2 linked regions of the Schizosaccharomyces pombe genome follow. Changing the gene in region 1 together with any one later gene gives a genetic interaction. Each region holds a gene or a part of one and is shown in the gene's direction. Other genes may lie near its edges. The genes, in order: spi1 and mog1.

Region 1 (9,644 bases):
ATTAGAAGAAATAAATAAAACACCTATTCAACACCTAATACTACTATTACCCCCACGTAAGTACTGGTTAAACCATGACTAGGTCAAAACACATTCTGCAACACTCTCCTAATGTAATATAACAGACTTGCAGATTTCAAAAAGCAAAGCCCCCACGAAGGTCGTCTTTCCCCACATAGATTATTATCGTTAAAGTGGGCTAAGCCAAACACGGTAAACACTGTTTTGCCAGCCATCAAGATTTAAGCCTTCGATTACAACACCGCATAACCACATAGCTGTGTTTTTTCTGCTTTTACCACAACTATGGCAAGTCAGCGGTTCGTGATTGCTTTGCATTCCTTTCCGGGGAAGAGTAGTGATGAACTTCCGTTGGTTGAAGGTCGGAAGTATCTGTTGATAAAGATGGATGAAGAATTTGGTGATGGTTGGTGGGAAGTAAGTATATAACTTCGAAGTCAAAATCCTATTATTTTTATTCCTGGTATATTTTATAATTTGAAGGATTCTTGATGCCTGCTTTGTACAGTTTTCCAATCCACATAAAGATGCAAACACTATATGTCAAAGTTGCATGCCCTTAGGATTGTGAAACCTTGATATATTTTTATCATACTAACTAAGTTTTAATAGGGAGAAGATGAACAGGGAAATAGGGGTATTTTTCCTGCTTCGCACGTAGAATTGATATCTGATGAGAGGTCTGACTCAAGTGATTCAAGAAGAGGCAAAGAAGATTTCTCCATTTCTACCGCGGAAGTCACAAGATCCTCTTTATCAAGCAGCCGGTCAACTTCTTCACGATCGGACAAGGACAGTGAAAAGTTGTATTCGAATAATTCCTTGTCTTCAAGTCACTCATCAATCTTAAACGGCCCCCTTGATAGTCTTTCGAAACCTTCGGTCCCTAGTAATTTTAACTCAATGTTTCCATCTTCTAAACAAGAAGGCCCTTCCCCTTTGTTGGATAACCAACCTTCCTCAGATCTATCAAACTTCAACACTATTGATGCCGATTATAATAATGCTTCTGCTTCTACTTCTGCTCCTGCTACTTCAGCAAGCTTGAAAAAGGTTTTGTCAGCTGAGGATTCCGTTAGAGAAACTATTACAGATATTGAAACAGCTTTACAGAATATGTCAACTTCAGCATCTCGTACTCCAAATGACAGTTCACCTTTGCCCTATATTGAAAATCGACCTGCATCCTCTCTTGCTGTTTCCGAAAAAATTCAAAATGTTCCTAACTGGTCTACGGAAGAGGTAGTTGAATGGCTTATGAATGCCGGCCTTGGATCAGTAGCTCCTAATTTTGCGGAGAATGAAATAACCGGTGAAATTTTATTAGGCTTAGATTCCAATGTTTTGAAAGAACTTAACATTACTTCTTTTGGAAAACGTTTTGAAGTTTTACGAAAGATCCAACAATTAAAAGATTCATACGAACAATCTTTATATGAAGAATATCCGCAGTTTGCTGAGCCTATTTCTGTTAGCCAAAGTTCTGATTCCTCCTCTTCTATTCCAAAAAAATCTAATGATGAAGCCGGCGGTTCACCATCAAAATCCAGTCCAACTCGTCCGGGATTTAACGATTATGTTAATCGTCCGACTAGTGTGATGCCTTCTTTGTCAAATATGATTGTTTCACCTGATTTGGACTCATCTCCATCTACCGATTGGAACCAATACGTGATTCCTCCTTTAGCCACACCAAGTTCGCGCAATTCTAAGTCTACGCAATCTGCGGTCCCTGAAAATGTATCTCGTTTTGATTCTAACGAACCTTCGGCCACATCACCGATATTAAAACGTTCATCCCCTACGGACTCAATTTCTCAAAATAGCGGTTTACCTTCTCGTCTTACTGAGCCCATCTCTTCTCCTTCTACCAGTAGCATTGATGTTGATAAGGAAGGAACTTCATTTCCTGGTTTACCTTATCATTCATCTAAGGGCAACTTGTATGCTCCTCAACCATCTTCTAACGTTCCTACTAAATTTACGGGCGGTGCATCGGAATCTTCTTCCGTACCTCCTAGACCTATTCCAAGTGCTATGAAAGGAAAAGCACCAGCTTCAGCTATATCTATCGAAGCTTTGGAAGAATTGGATCCTCCAAAGATTACTACTATTGATGGTGAAAGTCCTTCATCGATAAGTTCTCGACTCCCTAGTAGCAATCTCGAACAAGGGAGTTCAAGTTCTGTTACTAAGTCACCTGAATCAATGCCAGACCCATCAGCAAAAGCATCATCGCCTGTCACAAGCAAAGGGGTGTCCATAAACGAAAAATCCGCTGTTAATAATTATGCCACTCCTCTTTCAAAACCTCAACCCAAAGATACGAAGGGCTCAAAATTAGGAAATACTTTTGTTGCTCCATCTCCGGCTGCTTCCTTACCCGCTTCACCTCCAGTCGGCACTGAGTTAAAGACTCGTCCAACCCTTCGTTCTGTTGCTTCATCACCATTAAATAAAGAGCCAATAGGTAAACGAAAGTCGAAACGTGATATTTTTGGGAGACAAAAGGTTTTACCTACTGGAATTAGTGAAGGATTAAGTAATATACCTGCCAAAGAAGCAATTAAAACGGCGGACTGTCATGGTTGGATGCGGAAACGTAGTGATCGTTACGGTGTTTGGAAGTCTAGATACTTTGTATTAAAAGGAACAAGGCTTTCTTATTACCATTCATTAAATGATGCTTCAGAAAAAGGCCTAATTGATATGACTTCTCATCGTGTTACGAAAACCGATGACATTGTTCTAAGTGGAGGCAAAACTGCTATCAAGTTAATTCCACCTGCTCCAGGTGCCGCTAAAGCAGCAGTTATGTTCACTCCACCAAAGGTTCATTATTTTACTTGTGAAAATAATGAAGAATTACATCGTTGGTCTTCGGCTTTTCTCAAGGCTACTGTGGAACGCGATATGTCGGTACCTGTTTTGACAACGTCGAGAATGCCTACCATTTCACTTAGCAAAGCTAAAGAACTTCGTACTAGGCCTCCTTCTCTATTAATTGATGATGAAAATGAAGCAAATCTCACTTCTTCGATTGGATTAAAGAAGAATGCAAAACAAAAGAATAAGAAATCAAGCAAGCAAAAATAAATACCGACACTCCTCAAAATCCACAAAAGCAAAGTGCAACACATTCCAATTCTAAAACCTGCGCAACAGACCCTGTTCTTAGTATCTGGTTTTCCTTAATCTATTTTCAAACTAAATATCCCTTCAAAATTGAAAACATAGCTAATATGTTTGAATTTTAAATTCGTTGATGCTTTTACTGCGGACATATTTGACACCAATTTAAGAATTAACCGGGCATATTTGATACGCTCATTTCGATTCTGGTTTACCGACATTTACTAGCGGAAGCTATAGTATCTTCATCATGCACATATGGCTTATTTAACGTTGAATTATTTGCTTTTATCTTTTATTGCATAAATTTTTAAAAGCAAATGCATCATTCTATTAATTCAGCATTTTTTTACTGATAATTTTCATTTGTTTGTCGACTTCCTACCACTTTCGTTTGTTTTATTTTTAATCTTTATTTCGATCATTTCGATCCAGCTGAGTCCACGCTGGTAGCGGACCTGGATCATTGCAGAATTCGTAGGCCTTTTACTAGTGATACTAATATAGCTAATGAAAATTTAGAATGTTTGTTTTCTATGTATGGGCATTCCTGGCATTCCTTGGATTAGCAAATACGTTTTCTTGGCTGCGGTTTTTTATCTTTACATGCAATCAAAACCGTGTAGTGACGTCCAAAAAGTAAGCATTGGCTGCTTGTAAGTTGTGTATAAACCCAGAATGTATAAGCAAGTACGCACAAATGTAGCTTTTCGTAGAAGCAATTCTTTTTTGAAATTTCAAAAACGACACTATATCCATTTTTTGGCGATCAACTTCAATAAGAGCAATAGTCAAACTCGTTAAACAATTCGTTAAATCGGCATTAAAAAACTATACCATACACTCCCTTTTCTGTTAAATTCCAATCGACTATCAGGGTTAGGGTTTTGTTATACCCAGGTCTTTTATTCATATAAAAATTACGCACCACTAAAATTTTCCTTTAACCAAACTCTCAGTTAGTTTAGGTGCAACAGAGAAAAGTTTAGTATGGCTCAACCACAAAACGTTCCTACCTTTAAGCTTGTACTTGTCGGCGATGGTGGTACCGGTAAGACCACGTTCGTCAAGCGTCATTTGACTGGTGAATTTGAAAAGAAGTATATTGCAACTTTGGTACGTTTTATGATTTTACTTTATTAGAACAGTTTTTGTATACCGGAAACGATGCCTAGTATCGTAAATAAATGCCATCTTTTTATGAGACATACAGTTATCTGTACTCGTGCATCATCGGTTTTCAGTTACTCTTTTTATGCTTAGATCTTTCGTTTAGAAACAACAGTCTAACATATTTTTAGGGTGTTGAGGTCCATCCTTTGCATTTTCATACTAATTTTGGTGAAATTTGCTTTAATGTTTGGGATACCGCTGGTCAAGAAAAGTTAGGTGGCCTTCGTGATGGTTACTATATTCAAGGTCAATGTGGTATTATCATGTTTGATGTTACTTCCCGTATTACCTATAAGAATGTTCCCCATTGGTGGCGTAAGTGATATTTAAGCAAAAAAAAGCTTTAAATGTTTTTTTTGATACTCATAGACCGCTAGATTTAATGGTTATAAGTATATTGACATTAGCTTTTTTTGACTACTTTAATGAACATTACTAATCGAATGCAGGTGATCTTGTCCGTGTTTGTGAAAACATTCCCATTGTTCTTTGCGGTAACAAAGTTGATGTTAAAGAGCGTAAAGTCAAGGCTAAGGCTATCACTTTCCATCGCAAGAAAAACCTTCAATACTACGACATCTCCGCCAAGTCCAATTATAACTTCGAAAAACCTTTCTTATGGCTTGCCCGTAAGCTGGTTGGCAACCCCAACCTGGAGTTTGTTGCTTCGCCTGCCCTTGCTCCTCCTGAGGTTCAAGTCGATCAGCAATTGTTAGCTCAATACCAACAGGAAATGAACGAGGCTGCTGCTATGCCTTTACCTGATGAGGATGACGCTGATTTGTAAACCAATTTTTTATATCTTTTTTACGTCTCCCTTGCAGATAAAATACATTGGTTCCTGGCCGATGGGACGGTTCCGGTTTCGAAAAAATACCCCTTCTTTTCCTTAAATAAAACTTATTAGTATTTTTCCACTCGAAAGAATTTATTCATTAAGCTATTCCGTTGGGGTTATTTGAAATAGATTATGTTTAGTTTGATATGTTCATATCACTATGTGTGGTAAAAAGTGTAAATCGTATTTTTTAAGTTAATTGTAATTTTGGTAACTTCATTTTTAGAAATACACATTTGTTGCCTGTATGTTTTGTTTCAGTTTAAAATTGATATTGTGTGCGACTGATGGACAAGTTCTGGCATACCAAGGAAGATTTTTTGAGGACTAGGATTAGTAAAGAAACTATGCCTGCCTATTTATTGATTTATCGTCTTAGTTTTTTTGGTAGTTTTGGCATTCAACAACATAGGTATGCGAGTTGCGTGCTGTTAGCCGTAGGCAAATCCCTAAATTGAAAACTAAACTAATACTTTTGACTTGTGTAACGATAGGTTACAAAGTGTATGCGTTAATGCGAAAATTCAATGCTACTGGCATTAATAAGAATATTGACAATCAATACATTAATTGTTTACCTCAATCTCTAAAGAAGCTGTATTTTGTTCCATACATATTATACAAAGCAGTGACATTACTCTACATATATATTGTGGCGTTGTTAGAAATCGTTATGTGAAAACAATCGAGGTCATTTTGAACTTTACCAAGTTATAATCGTTTTAGAGCTCGTAGATTATGTCCAGCCAGCCTTTTTGGGATGAAAGAATACATCGTTGGAGATGTTTAGGATCAGAAGGAAACGAATTAATATATATTGATGAAGAACAAACTTGGAAAGATTATGTACGATGAACAATTTTGCTTTACCATTCCATTGAGACAAACATGACCCCTAACTAAACAAGGATCCTAATAGCTTAAAAATGAATAAGGCCGGCTCAACTGGTGCAGAAGTCAGTGATGTTACGGCGGAGGCTACCGAAGGAAAGGAATCTAGCAACGGCGAAGACCGCCATACCAAACGATTGTACGAATCGACATCGGCTGAAGGGTATCCTTCAGGTTCTCGAAATAAAAAGTCAAAGTCCGAAAATTCAGAAGCCTCGCCCGCCCCAGTAATAAACAAAGCGGTTTACATTCAAGGACTACCACTGGATGTCACGGTTGACGAAATTGAAGAAGTATTCAAGAAATGCGGTGTTATTGCTAAGAATATTGACAATGGTACGCCGAGAATCAAAATCTACCGGACAGAGGATGGAACTCCTAAAGGTGATGCTTTAATTGTATTTTTCCGCAGCGAAAGTGTTGAGCTTGCAGAGCAATTATTTGATGACACTGAATTTCGTTATGGATCTGGGCAAAAGATGCGTGTCCAGAAAGCTAATATTGATTACAAAAAGGAGAAAACGGTGAACAAAGACGTAGGTGGTGCCTTAAAAAAAAAGGCACTTCGTCTCCGACAACAACAAATGCAGTATGTTATGTAATGAATACTCATAAAAAATTTCTCTTTTATTTATTGTTGCATACCAACTTTTTTCTTTCTCGGTTTTATCTTTTAATTTATAGAGCTAACAGGTTTTAGGCAAATTTCATCCTGGGATGATGTTGACGAAGAGGTTGATGATAAAAGAAAAAAACGATTTAATAAAATAGTAGTTTTAAAGCATATTTTTACGCTGGAAGAACTCGATAAAACACCTGAACTTTTAATTGACTTAAAAGACGATATCACTGAGGAAGCTGAGAAATGTGGACGAGTTACTAATGTGGTTTTGTACGACAAGGAGCCTGATGGAGTAGTAACTGTACGGTTTTCAAACAATGAAGAAGCTGAAGCTTGCGTAAGGTTAATGCAAGGCCGATATTTTGATGGCCGGGTAGTGGAAGCTTCAATTTACGATGGAAAGGTTCGGTTCCAGAAAAGTGGAAAGCATACATTAGATGATGAAGAGGACGAGGAAAAACGTTTGGAAAAATTCGCAGATTGGTTAGAAAATTCTAACTGAAATTTTTTAAATTTCGTAACTATGTCTCAGTTGGCACATTATCCATTTATACGTGTGTTTTTCTTGACCTCTTTATTTATTTATTTTTTTCTTCTTTTAAAATAAAATTATCCCTTGTTTAAAGTGACAATGAGCTGGCGAAATATCAATTGTTTTCAATTTCGGATAAAAGAATAAGCTAACAGTTTTATCAGTCATAATAAGGCATTCTTCCTATCATAATTGAATGGTCCCTAATTTTTGTAACACATACAAATACTCTATGAATAGCTAGTTTACATCCTCATGTATAAAGCAGTTTTATTTAGACGTGCATCAATATAAGTTTGTTATTATGCTATGCGCTATTAGTTATTCCTGATATTCATTCATGTTGATTATCGTTGCACATTACTACTACTATCTTTTCTGTTCTTTCCTCTACACCTTGTTACCCCGATTTATGCTGGTTAGGGTATACTGCGCTGGTCAAGGAAGTAACCGTTCCAATGTGTGTATGTGTGTATATTGACAACTCCCACTACCCTTTCATTATAAGATCTACTTTTAGAACGCGATTGAGGAGGAAAAGGATCTAAGTTATAGACATTATTTGTTTTCAAATCTTCCTCTAGTGAAAGTTGCTAGGTTCGCTACAAATCTGTTTTAAAGTTTATAAAGTGGTTAGCTACTCTCTTTTTTTTCACGTTACACGAGTTTTCTTTTGCTAATCTGACTATTCTCCTAAAAAGTCCATTAAATGGATTCAGCATCTTCTATGCGAAATAGAAGCCCCTTGGGTGTGCCGGAATTTTCATATTCTTCTCAGTCGGTGAACAATATACGCGGTATCAAAAGCAGAAACAGGTCCTCAATTGGGCATTCTATAACCGATCCTCAAGTTGCCTCACGAATAAATGCTTTTTACCTCTCCAATGTTCAATCTAGCATTCCCTTTGAAACAGATGCCATTGGACCTGCCTACGGTATTGGCGACATGATTGCACCGGAAATGAACGATACACAAAGTTTGAGTGCCTCTGTAACCAACATGAAAAAAGAGAATTTTTATTCACGACCGAACGTATCCTCTTCTAGCATTCTTTTAACTATTAAACGCGCTACCAGCTCACAAGAAACAAAACGGGACCGTCCTTTGCCGAATATTAGAAACTCAGCTCCTTCAGCAACTCGCTCTCATTCTACACCATGTGTTGCCCCAGGATATTTACGTACATCTAATGAAGCCGCGGACGTTGTATTCCCTCATGAAGAGGCACATTTTTCTAATCACAACCCTAAACCGAATAACGGATCCCCATTGCAAAAGCAGGTAGTAGCGGATTTACCTTTTCCCTTACCAGTATCCGATGAAGAGCAACTTGATTGGATTCGCGCCAATGAAGACCTTGTACATTCTCAAGACATTGACGAAGCATTGGAGTGGGCAGAATACGTCCTTCGATTTACCCAATCTCATCTACCATATCTTCAAACATATGAAAGCGAAAACCTCCATGAAATTAATTATTTGGAATCAATGTGCGAAAACGCGCTCTATAAAATTCGAGAATTTTCAGAGTTAGAGAATGCTAAAGCAATGTATTTCGATGCCTATGTCTACGAGACAGGTGCCTTTGATGTAGAGTCTGATATCCAGCGGGCCTGGGACTTATACTCTTCTTCTGCTAATCTAGGCTATACACGAAGCTTGTACAGATTAGGAGTGTTATTGGAAGATCAAGGTAACCTAGAAGAAGCCGTCGAATATTTTGAAAAGGGTGTTTCAGAGAATGACAGTGCATGCTGTTGGAGACTATCGCTTTTAATTTTGGAAGGGATGTTGGACGGTGTTGGAGAATATGCACACAGGCACGCTAGTGGACTAGAACTTCTCGAACGAAGCGCAGATACAGCTGATGCCGATGTTCCATCCGGACTGTATAGTCATGCTTTGGTGAATCTTCATGAACATCCTGGATTAGTAGATTTAGGGTCTGAAAATATTAGAGTTCCCATAGATGAAGCAACTGCACTTAAAAGTTTTGCGAAAGCTGCTTTTTTGGGTCATTCATCGGCTCAATTACGAATGGGAGCTGTCTATGAGTTCGGAAAATACGGCTGCCCTGTCGTTCCTCGATATTCTTTGTTCTATTACAGTGCTGCCGCTAAAAGGGGGGAAACAGAAGCTGATCTCGCGGTTGCAAAATGGTACCTGAACGGCTCGGATGGTATACCCGTTGATGAGGATTTAGCCTTTATGCATGCTGAAAGAGCCTCTATGGCTGGTAATGCTAATGCTCAATTCCTGATGGGTTATTTATTCGATACAAGAGGTAATACAGAACAGGCAACATACTGGTATAATGAGGCTGCTAAAGCAGGACATAGTGAAGCAATTGAGCGGTTGGCACTTCTAGAGAATCAGATTCAGGAGCCCGAACCAGAAAACATAACTTCATCACAATACCCAAATCAAGACGTTA
Region 2 (9,180 bases), on another chromosome or scaffold:
AGCAGTCCGTATGATTTTAGCAACTCTTCTTTTGTTGGTAATTCGGGCTCAGGTACCCCATTGGATGGCGATAGTGGTTCATTCTATGCCGATAGCGCTAATCTCACAAATCGTGAGCCTTATCCTGCCTGGACTCCTGAAAACGAACTCCCTTTAACTAAGGAAGAGATTGAAGACATATTCATTGATCTAACCAATAAATTGGGTTTCCAACGCGATTCCATGCGTAATATGTATGATTTTTTTATGTGTCTTTTAGATTCTCGTGCTTCTCGCATGACTCCAGATCAAGCACTGCTTACGCTTCATGCCGATTATATTGGTAGTGATATTGCTAACTATAAAAAATGGTATTTTGCTTCTCAGATGGATCGGGAAGATGCAGTCGGTCTTGCTAATGTTGGCATTTATGGTGGTAAAGTTACTTCTATCAAAGAGAAAGGAAAGTTCTTTTCTCGAAACAAAAAAGCCCCTAAAGTTGTTAAGCCTCCAAGGAAGTCTCGCTTCAAGCGCAAGAAGAAAAAGGAGCAACCCGAGGAGGCGGAAGACGAATACATTGATGTTAATACCGATGATTCTTTAGAATCCGCCGAATATCGTTGGAGATCTCACATGCGCTCAATGACTCAATTCGAGCGTGCTCAACAAATTGCATTGTGGCTTTTGTTGTGGGGTGAGGCAAACAATGTTCGTTTCATGCCTGAGGTAATAGCCTTCCTTTTCAAATGTGCTTACGATTATATTATTTCACCTGAGGCACAAAACGTCACTGAACCAGTTCCTGAAGGATATTACTTGGATAATATTGTTTCCCCACTCTACCAATATATGCACGATCAGCAGTTTGAAATTATCAATGGGAAATATGTACGTCGGGAACGTCCACATGACCAGTTAATTGGATACGATGATATTAACCAACTTTTCTGGCATGCTGAGGGTATAGCACGTCTTATTTTTGAAGACGGCACTCGTCTTATTGATATTCCTGCTTCTGAGCGTTTTCATAGGCTTCCAGAAGTTCAATGGAATCGTGCTTTTTATAAAACTTATTATGAATCCCGTTCTTGGTTTCATCTTATTACCAATTTCAATCGTATTTGGGTCATCCACTTTGGTATGTTTTGGTATTTTACTGCTTTCAACTCTCCTACTCTTTACACAAAACCTTTCCATCAGCGCGATGGTCCCAAGCCAACAGGTGCTTCCCAATGGGCTGCTGTTGCTTGTACCTCTGTTGTTTCTTGTATTATCATGGCTGCTGCTTCTTTGTGTGAATATCTTTTTGTCCCCCGTCGTTTCCCTGGATCAAAACCCATTTGGAAGCGTTTATGTATCATTGTTTTAATCGCTATCATTAACTTGATTCCTATCGTCTATATCTTCGGTTTCTCAAGTAAGCATCAACAGCGTAGTGGTCGACGTATCGCTGTTGGTGTAGTTGCATTTTTGATGTCTATTGCTACATACGTCTACTTTTCTCTTGTACCTCTACAAAGTACATTTGGAAAATTGTCCGTGAAAGATTCTCGTAAATACTTGGCAAACAAGTATTTCACTTCAAATTTTGCACCATTAAAATTTGATAACCAAGCACTCTCTGTTATTATTTGGGTCTGTGTTTTCACATGCAAATTTGCTGAATCTTATTTCTTCCTTACCTTGTCTATCAGAGATCCTATTATTGTTTTGAGTACCATGCGACCTTATCTTTGCTCTATTTATTGGGCGGGTAGCAGATTATGTTTTGTCCAACCAAGGATCATTTTGGGTATCATGTATTTTACTGACTTGATTCTCTTCTTTTTGGATACGTACCTTTGGTATATTATTTTCAATACTATCTTCTCTGTTTTAAGATCATTCGTCTTAGGTATTTCGATCCTCACACCATGGAGAAATATCTTTAGCCGTATGCCCCAAAGAATTTATGGTAAAATTTTGGCCACGAATGACATGGAAATTAAGTACAAACCTAAAATTTTAATTTCACAAATTTGGAATGCGATTGTCATTTCTATGTATCGTGAACATTTACTTTCCATTGATCATGTACAACGTCTTCTGTATCATCAAGTTCCAGCTGAAGAAGGACGTAGGACTCTTAGAACCCCTACGTTTTTTGTCTCTCAGGACGATAATATTGTTCACACTACTTTCTTCCCTGCAAATTCAGAGGCAGAGCGTCGTCTTTCTTTCTTTGCACAATCTTTAGCTACTCCCATTCCAGAACCAGTACCTGTTGACAACATGCCTACTTTCACTGTATTGATTCCTCATTATGCTGAGAAAATTCTTCTATCATTGCGAGAAATCATTAGAGAAGAGGACCAGTTGTCTCGTGTCACCCTTTTAGAATATTTGAAACAGCTTCATCCTGTTGAATGGGACTGTTTTGTGAAGGATACTAAGATTCTGGTAGAGGAAAATGCTCCATATGAAAATGATTCTGTCTCTGAAAAGGAAGGTACATATAAAAGTAAAGTTGATGATCTTCCTTTTTACTGTATTGGTTTCAAATCTGCTATGCCCGAGTATACGTTACGTACCCGTATTTGGGCTTCCTTAAGAAGTCAAACGTTGTATCGTACTATCAGCGGTTTTATGAACTATAGCAGAGCTATCAAGCTTTTATATCGTGTTGAAAACCCCGAAATCGTTCAAATGTTTGGTGGTAACACAGATCGTTTGGAAAGGGAGTTAGATCGCATGGCTCGTCGAAAATTCAAGTTGGTTGTCTCAATGCAACGTTATGCAAAGTTCACAAAGGAAGAGTATGAAAATGCCGAATTTCTTCTCAGGGCTTATCCTGATTTGCAAATTGCTTACCTTGACGAAGATCCTCCTGAAGAAGAAGGTGCGGAACCTCAATTGTTTGCTGCTTTGATTGACGGTCACTCTGAAATTATGGAAAATGAACGTCGTCGTCCGAAATATCGTATTCGTTTGTCTGGTAATCCTATTCTTGGTGATGGTAAATCTGACAATCAAAACATGAGCTTACCATTCTATCGTGGTGAATATATTCAACTTATTGATGCTAATCAAGATAATTATCTTGAAGAGTGCCTTAAGATTCGAAGTGTTCTTGCTGAGTTTGAAGAAATGGAGACCGACAATGTTAACCCCTATTCTGAAAGTGCTCGTGAAAGAAATAAGCATCCTGTAGCTATTCTTGGTGCTCGTGAATACATTTTCTCTGAGAACATTGGTATATTGGGTGACGTTGCAGCAGGCAAAGAACAAACATTCGGTACTCTTTTCTCTCGTACACTTGCGCAAATTGGCGGTAAACTTCATTATGGTCATCCAGATTTTCTTAACGGTATCTTTATGACTACACGTGGCGGTGTTTCTAAAGCTCAAAAAGGTTTACACGTCAACGAAGATATTTATGCTGGTATGAATGCTATGCTTCGCGGTGGACGTATCAAGCATTGCGAGTATTTCCAATGTGGTAAAGGTCGTGATTTAGGTTTTGGCTCAATTTTGAATTTCAACACAAAAGTTGGTACTGGTATGGGTGAACAAATGTTATCCCGTGAGTATTATTACTTAGGTACGCAGCTTCAACTTGACCGTTTCCTTTCTTTTTATTTTGCTCACCCCGGTTTCCATCTTAACAATATGTTTATTATGCTTTCTGTTCAACTTTTCATGGTGGTCCTTATCAACTTAGGAGCAATTTATCACGTTGTCACTGTTTGTTATTACAACGGTAATCAAAAGCTTAGTTACGACACTAGTATCGTTCCACGTGGTTGTTATCAATTGGGACCCGTTTTGTCTTGGCTGAAGAGATGTGTTATTTCAATTTTCATTGTGTTTTGGATTTCGTTTATTCCCCTTACTGTGCATGAATTAATTGAACGTGGTGTTTGGAGAGCTACAAAAAGATTCTTCAAGCAAATTGGTTCTTTCTCCCCCTTGTTTGAGGTTTTTACCTGCCAAGTGTACTCTCAAGCTATTACCTCGGATCTTGCATACGGCGGTGCTAGATATATTGGTACTGGTCGTGGTTTTGCTACTGCTCGTTTACCTTTCTCCATCTTGTATTCACGCTTTGCAGTCCCTTCAATTTACATTGGAGCTAGATTTCTAATGATGTTGTTGTTTGGTACTATGACTGTTTGGGTTGCGCACTTGATCTATTGGTGGGTGTCAATCATGGCTCTTTGTGTTGCTCCATTTTTGTTCAATCCTCATCAATTTGATTGGAACGATTTCTTTGTTGATTATAGAGAGTTTATTCGCTGGCTTTCGAGAGGTAATTCTCGTTCTCATGCCAATTCATGGATCGGATATTGTCGATTAACCCGCACTAGAATAACTGGTTACAAACGTAGGGTACTAGGTCAACCAAGCGATAAAATTTCAATGGATACTCCACGAGCAAAGTTTACGAATGTTTTCTTTAGCGATGTGTTAATCCCTGCCTTGTTAGCTGCTGGTGCCATTATCCCTTACTTCTTTATCAATTCTCAGCCTGGAAATCCCATGTTTATCACTGATCCAAATAATCCAAGCCCATATGTTCATGACACAAAGACAGGTACTAATCCCATTTTGCGACTTGTTATTATCTCTCTCATTCCTATTGCAGCAGGCTTTGGTATGTCAGGTTTCTTTGGTGGTATGGCTTGTTGTTTGGGTCCAGCCTTTGGATTGTGCTGTAAAAAGTTTCCATCTATTTTTGCTGCAATTGCCCACACGATCCAAATTTTCATCTTCATTGCTATTTTTGAAGTCTGCTGGTTCCTTGATGGATGGTCATTACCCAAGACTGTGTTGGCCTTCTGTGCTGTTACTGCAATTCATCGTTTTATCTTCAAAATTTTAACACTATTATGTTTATCTCGTGAGGTCAAACAAGATAGTGCTAATATTTCTTGGTGGAGTGGTAAATGGTATGGCAAAGGATATGGCTATCATGCCTTTACTTTGCCTGCTCGTGAATTTGTCTGTAAAGCCATAGAACTTAATTTGTTTGCTACTGATTTCTTCTTGGGTCACTTATTACTGTTTTTTATGCTTCCTGTGATTTGTATCCCATATATTGATCGTTGGCATTCAGTTCTTCTTTTCTGGTTGCGCCCAAGTCGTCAAATTCGTCCTCCTATTTTCTCTACCAAGCAGAATAGACTGCGGAAACGTATTGTTCGTCGTTATTCAGCCTTGTACTTTTCAATTTTGGTAATATTCCTTATTCTTATTATTGTTCCATTGGCAGCTGGTGCAGAAATCCGCCAAGGATTAACTGCTTCTGAGGCTGTTGCCAAGGGTGCTGTTGGATGGAACCAAACTAACTCTTCAATTGGTAGCGGTATCATTCAACCAAGGGACACGAATTATACTGCTAATTATTCTTTCTGGTACGACAGATACCATTTCGAATTCAATACCACTTACTAGATGGGATTATTAGAAAAATCATTTAAAATGAATTTGAAAAGATGCGCTAGTTCGCTATTATATTACACTGATGTTCTGATGAGCTTTCGTCAAGTATCTCAGCAATTTATTAATTTTATTTGTTACACTCATTTCATTCATACATTTCAGCATGTGCTTGGTCCCATCTCTTCGACTTGAGTTATTGAGCTCTGAAGGATAAAAGCAAAGCTAAAGGGTTAACCGTTTATCATTTTTTACTCATACCATCTTTCTATCTACGTTACATTTGCTATTTCACCATTTACAAGTTTGAGATTGATGAGTTTTGTTACAAGCCTTTTCAGGTTACAGTTTGATGGGCTAGGATTTTATGCATATATATACATTTCTTCATTTATCTATATACAAATGAATAAGAATTCCCATTGGTTCACAAAACTTTTACCTATATTATTGCTGGTCAGTTAATGGATATTTGTTTAAAATATAAGGTGATGTAATTGTGTAAAAGTATTGAAGTAGATTATGATACCGTACATAAATTGATCTTTTGGTTGAATACTTATTATCTAGTGAACGTTTAATTTAGGTTTTTCAGATCAATAGAAAGTTTGAAATAACCACTCTAGTGTGCAATTCCATTTCTCTTTTGTATCACACAAGTGGAAGGCTGAACAACTAATCAACTTAATCGTAAAAGTTATCAGACGCCCTATCCTTGTATTAGTTATGGATATCTGAATGGACTCATGATTACAAGATTACGAGCGTCCTTTCATCCATTTGATATACTAGTTGTCAAAACGATATTAGAAACTATATATGTGTACAAAATTTTATTTTTAACATATCATTTTCATTAAAAATCATCAATTTGAATTTCTTTTTATTTTAATTTTAAATCAGTTTAGTAGTTACCGTGCAGTGCGTAAATATTGAAAATTGAATCTAGGCTCATTTAAAGCGTTTTACTAGCGATAAATATAATAATGAAACATAAAATAACACGCACTAACTTGTTACCGCAGTCGAATGAAATGGAGTGAAAATAGGAAAGAATCCTTTTGTGGTTCGAATACCAATCTGGTTCTTGAGACAAACAAATCTATTAGGTTTTTATATTTTTATAGTAATGGTACAGCTATTCGGTGGGGCTCTTTGTGCTGATTTCCCTCCTAAATTTCTCGATGCTAGCGTTTTGCGTCAGATTCCTGACAACCAAGAGGTGTTTTTGCAAGATTCCAAGGAAAACCTAACAGTGATCATTGAGCTTTTGGAAAAAATTGAGAAGCCATTTGATGGAAGTGTGGCAGCTTACCATTTCAATAGCATTGCATTCGATAATGATGCATCTCAAAGAGTAATTTGGAGAGACAAAAGTCTTGGTGAAGACGACTTTGAGGGCATGAGAAGCGAAAAGGCTAGTGGATCTTCTGTACAAGGTTGTCAGAGGGTCCTTGAAAAAGGAAAGCGAAATCCTGAATCCGCTACCAATGTGGCAATCTTCGTGAATGTGATAACTTTGATTGACTTTCAAACAGATATCGTAATCTCCGTAAATGCTCCTTTACCTAACACTTCCTCAGTTCCCTCTTCTGTTGAAAACATTCCCCCTTCTGATCAAAGCATCGTTCGCGCTGCTCTCGAAACAATACAGCGAGTTACTCGATCTCTTGTACTTGTCGATAAAACAGTATTTGCTTAAAGGATGATGGACATAGGCAAGCAAATTAACTAGCCCACAACACTTAATTAAGATTTTCATCTAGGGAAATACTTTTCAAGTTTTATTTTTCTTTATCCGAAAGGAATTGTTTCTCTTATTTATAAAAACCGGTTATTCCAACTTGTATGAAGGGTTTTAATAAAAACATCTGATACTTGATAACCGATTAGCAATGGTTTTCACTTTTTCTGCTATTATTTTAATTTTCCCATTCTTCCATTGTTAATAGTATAAGTTTCACTGTGTCTTTACAGTTTAATGTTTTATGATTTGAGAGTACAACGTAAAACGCTAGTTTCCAAAGAATAACGGAAATTACAATTTCAAGGTGTTTTGATTGTACAGCTTTTGTCCTTTACACTGCCGCTGTAGGACAGTGGTGATTAAAACAAGTTAATCATAAAGAATTATTAAACATTAAAATACTTTCTAATTGTCCCTAACTCCGTGCAAGTAAAGAACAAATATAGCGAATGAAACAATCTTTATGATTGAAACCTGTAAACGACTGACTAGAAAATACTGAATAAGAATTACCAAAAGATAGAAGATCTCTTCATTGAGAGGAGCTTTTCCACCCTTTGCAATAAAGAAAACAAACATTTAGGATATCATCATACGAAGAAGAACAGAAAAGAAGTAAAAGACAGAAAGTTCATCCCCCAAGACGGGTTCCTTTTCCGGGGAAAGAAGAAAAGGTCGACAGAGGTTCCGCAATGGGGAGTTGAGCATGCGACAGTTGATCAAAAGAGTGATAGTTTTTTACCCAAGACTGGAAGATTGGGTCCACATTTTGAGCCCAGCTTTTTAAGGGGATAGAACCAAGCATGAAAGGAGTACAATACCCCATAACAGCTCCGGATGCATGCCCGATAAAGCTAGCTTTTGGAACCAATATGGTAGTCATAATTAGGTAAATAATAGGAAAACAATATGCAGGAATGCTGAAAAGATTAAAAAAGCTGATTCTAAAAAATAAGTTAATAAACCGCCATCATTTAAAAGACAAGAGAGGTTCGACGTTTGCAAAAAATCATACAAACCAGGTTGTTTCTTAACATTGTGAGGAAAGAAGACGTGTGGAAGTATGCATCTGCAACCATAATTATAAGAAATGCTTACAATCGTTGTGGAGAGTGAACACAGGAAGCAGAGATAAAAGCAAAAGCCCATCCACTAAGTCCAGCAATAGAAACGTAATCTTTTCTCAAGAAAAAATGGTAGACAATTAAATGCATAATACCCGGGAAAAGAGTGTAAGGAATGACCGTCACCAAAATGCACGCCAAAGTGCCTTGCTTCTTTTCAAATTGAGACATTGCTGGCAACAGGGATACAAAGTTAAATACAATATGCAACATTGAAAGATGAAGAGTTACATAAGTTATAATTTCATACACTACTCTCTCCGTTATTAATTAAAGTACCAAGGAATTTTAACTTACGCTGCCTTTTTTGCAACAATCCTATCCAGCTAAGAGACAGAACCCCCGTGGATATTCCAAAGAAGGAAAGTGCATACACCAGAATGGCGATATAAGTTATTATTTGCGTCCATATCGGTAATTTCAGAATGAACTCCTTTGATCGTCCTAGAATCATGAAAATCATCGAGAAGCTACTAATTTAATATCCGTACAATTTTGATTTAATAAATTTTTCAAAATTAGTTCAAAGGGGACTGAAATACGATCTGGATACGCTAATGCGGCATATGGTTCACGAAGGAAGATCCGGTCACCTGAAGCGAATATGAGAGCTCGCCTTACGTTTGCAGACAAACCAAAGGAAAGCCAAGGGTTTTATTCAAAAATATTGGTTTTATTTTAAAATCGCACGCTTACCGTGTGGAGTGTGAGCTATTTCTACTCATTAGCACAAAAAACAATATAACCGGTTTAAGAATATATATGAGAAAAGAATTATGACTTTTAGTCGTGATTCGAAAACGAATAGCACTTTAAAAACAATTAAAAATTCTAGATATAAGAAGTTGTAGCTTCCAATTTCAATGCTAATATTATATTAGAAATATCAAATTTTTCAGGGGTGGTAACGAC

What was found.
Region 2: of spi1 (region 1) and mog1, a mutation in one rescues a mutant of the other (synthetic rescue), as found in Schizosaccharomyces pombe (2 studies listed by BioGRID, with this or other methods).

The regions. Positions count from the first base shown.
Region 1 is NC_003423.3:4,381,816-4,391,459, reverse strand, and holds spi1 (Ran GTPase Spi1), read left to right. Parts: upstream 1-4,098; 5' UTR 4,099-4,143; coding exon 4,144-4,269; exon of another isoform or gene 4,270-4,454; coding exon 4,455-4,641; intron 4,642-4,744; exon of another isoform or gene 4,745-4,775; coding exon 4,776-5,113; 3' UTR 5,114-5,311; downstream 5,312-9,644. Other genes in the region: pob1 (Boi family protein), read left to right, coding at 307-438, 634-3,117; U2 snRNP-associated protein Uap2, read left to right, coding at 5,903-6,010, 6,073-6,644, 6,756-7,179; chr4 (SEL1/TPR repeat protein1, 3-beta-glucan synthase regulatory factor Chf3/Chr4), read left to right, coding at 7,919-9,644. UniProt on the Schizosaccharomyces pombe protein: GTP-binding protein involved in nucleocytoplasmic transport. Required for the import of protein into the nucleus and also for RNA export.
Region 2 is NC_003421.2:2,245,511-2,254,690, reverse strand, and holds mog1 (Ran GTPase-binding protein Mog1), read left to right. Parts: upstream 1-6,485; 5' UTR 6,486-6,526; coding exon 6,527-7,099; 3' UTR 7,100-7,330; downstream 7,331-9,180. Other genes in the region: cell wall and secondary septum 1,6 branched 1,3-beta-glucan synthase catalytic subunit Bgs4, read left to right, coding at 1-5,412; Golgi rhomboid protease Rbd2, read right to left, coding at 7,776-8,088, 8,243-8,519, 8,566-8,731. UniProt on the Schizosaccharomyces pombe protein: Involved in the Ran-GTPase system for nuclear protein import and poly(A)+ mRNA export. Required for mitosis-to-interphase transition.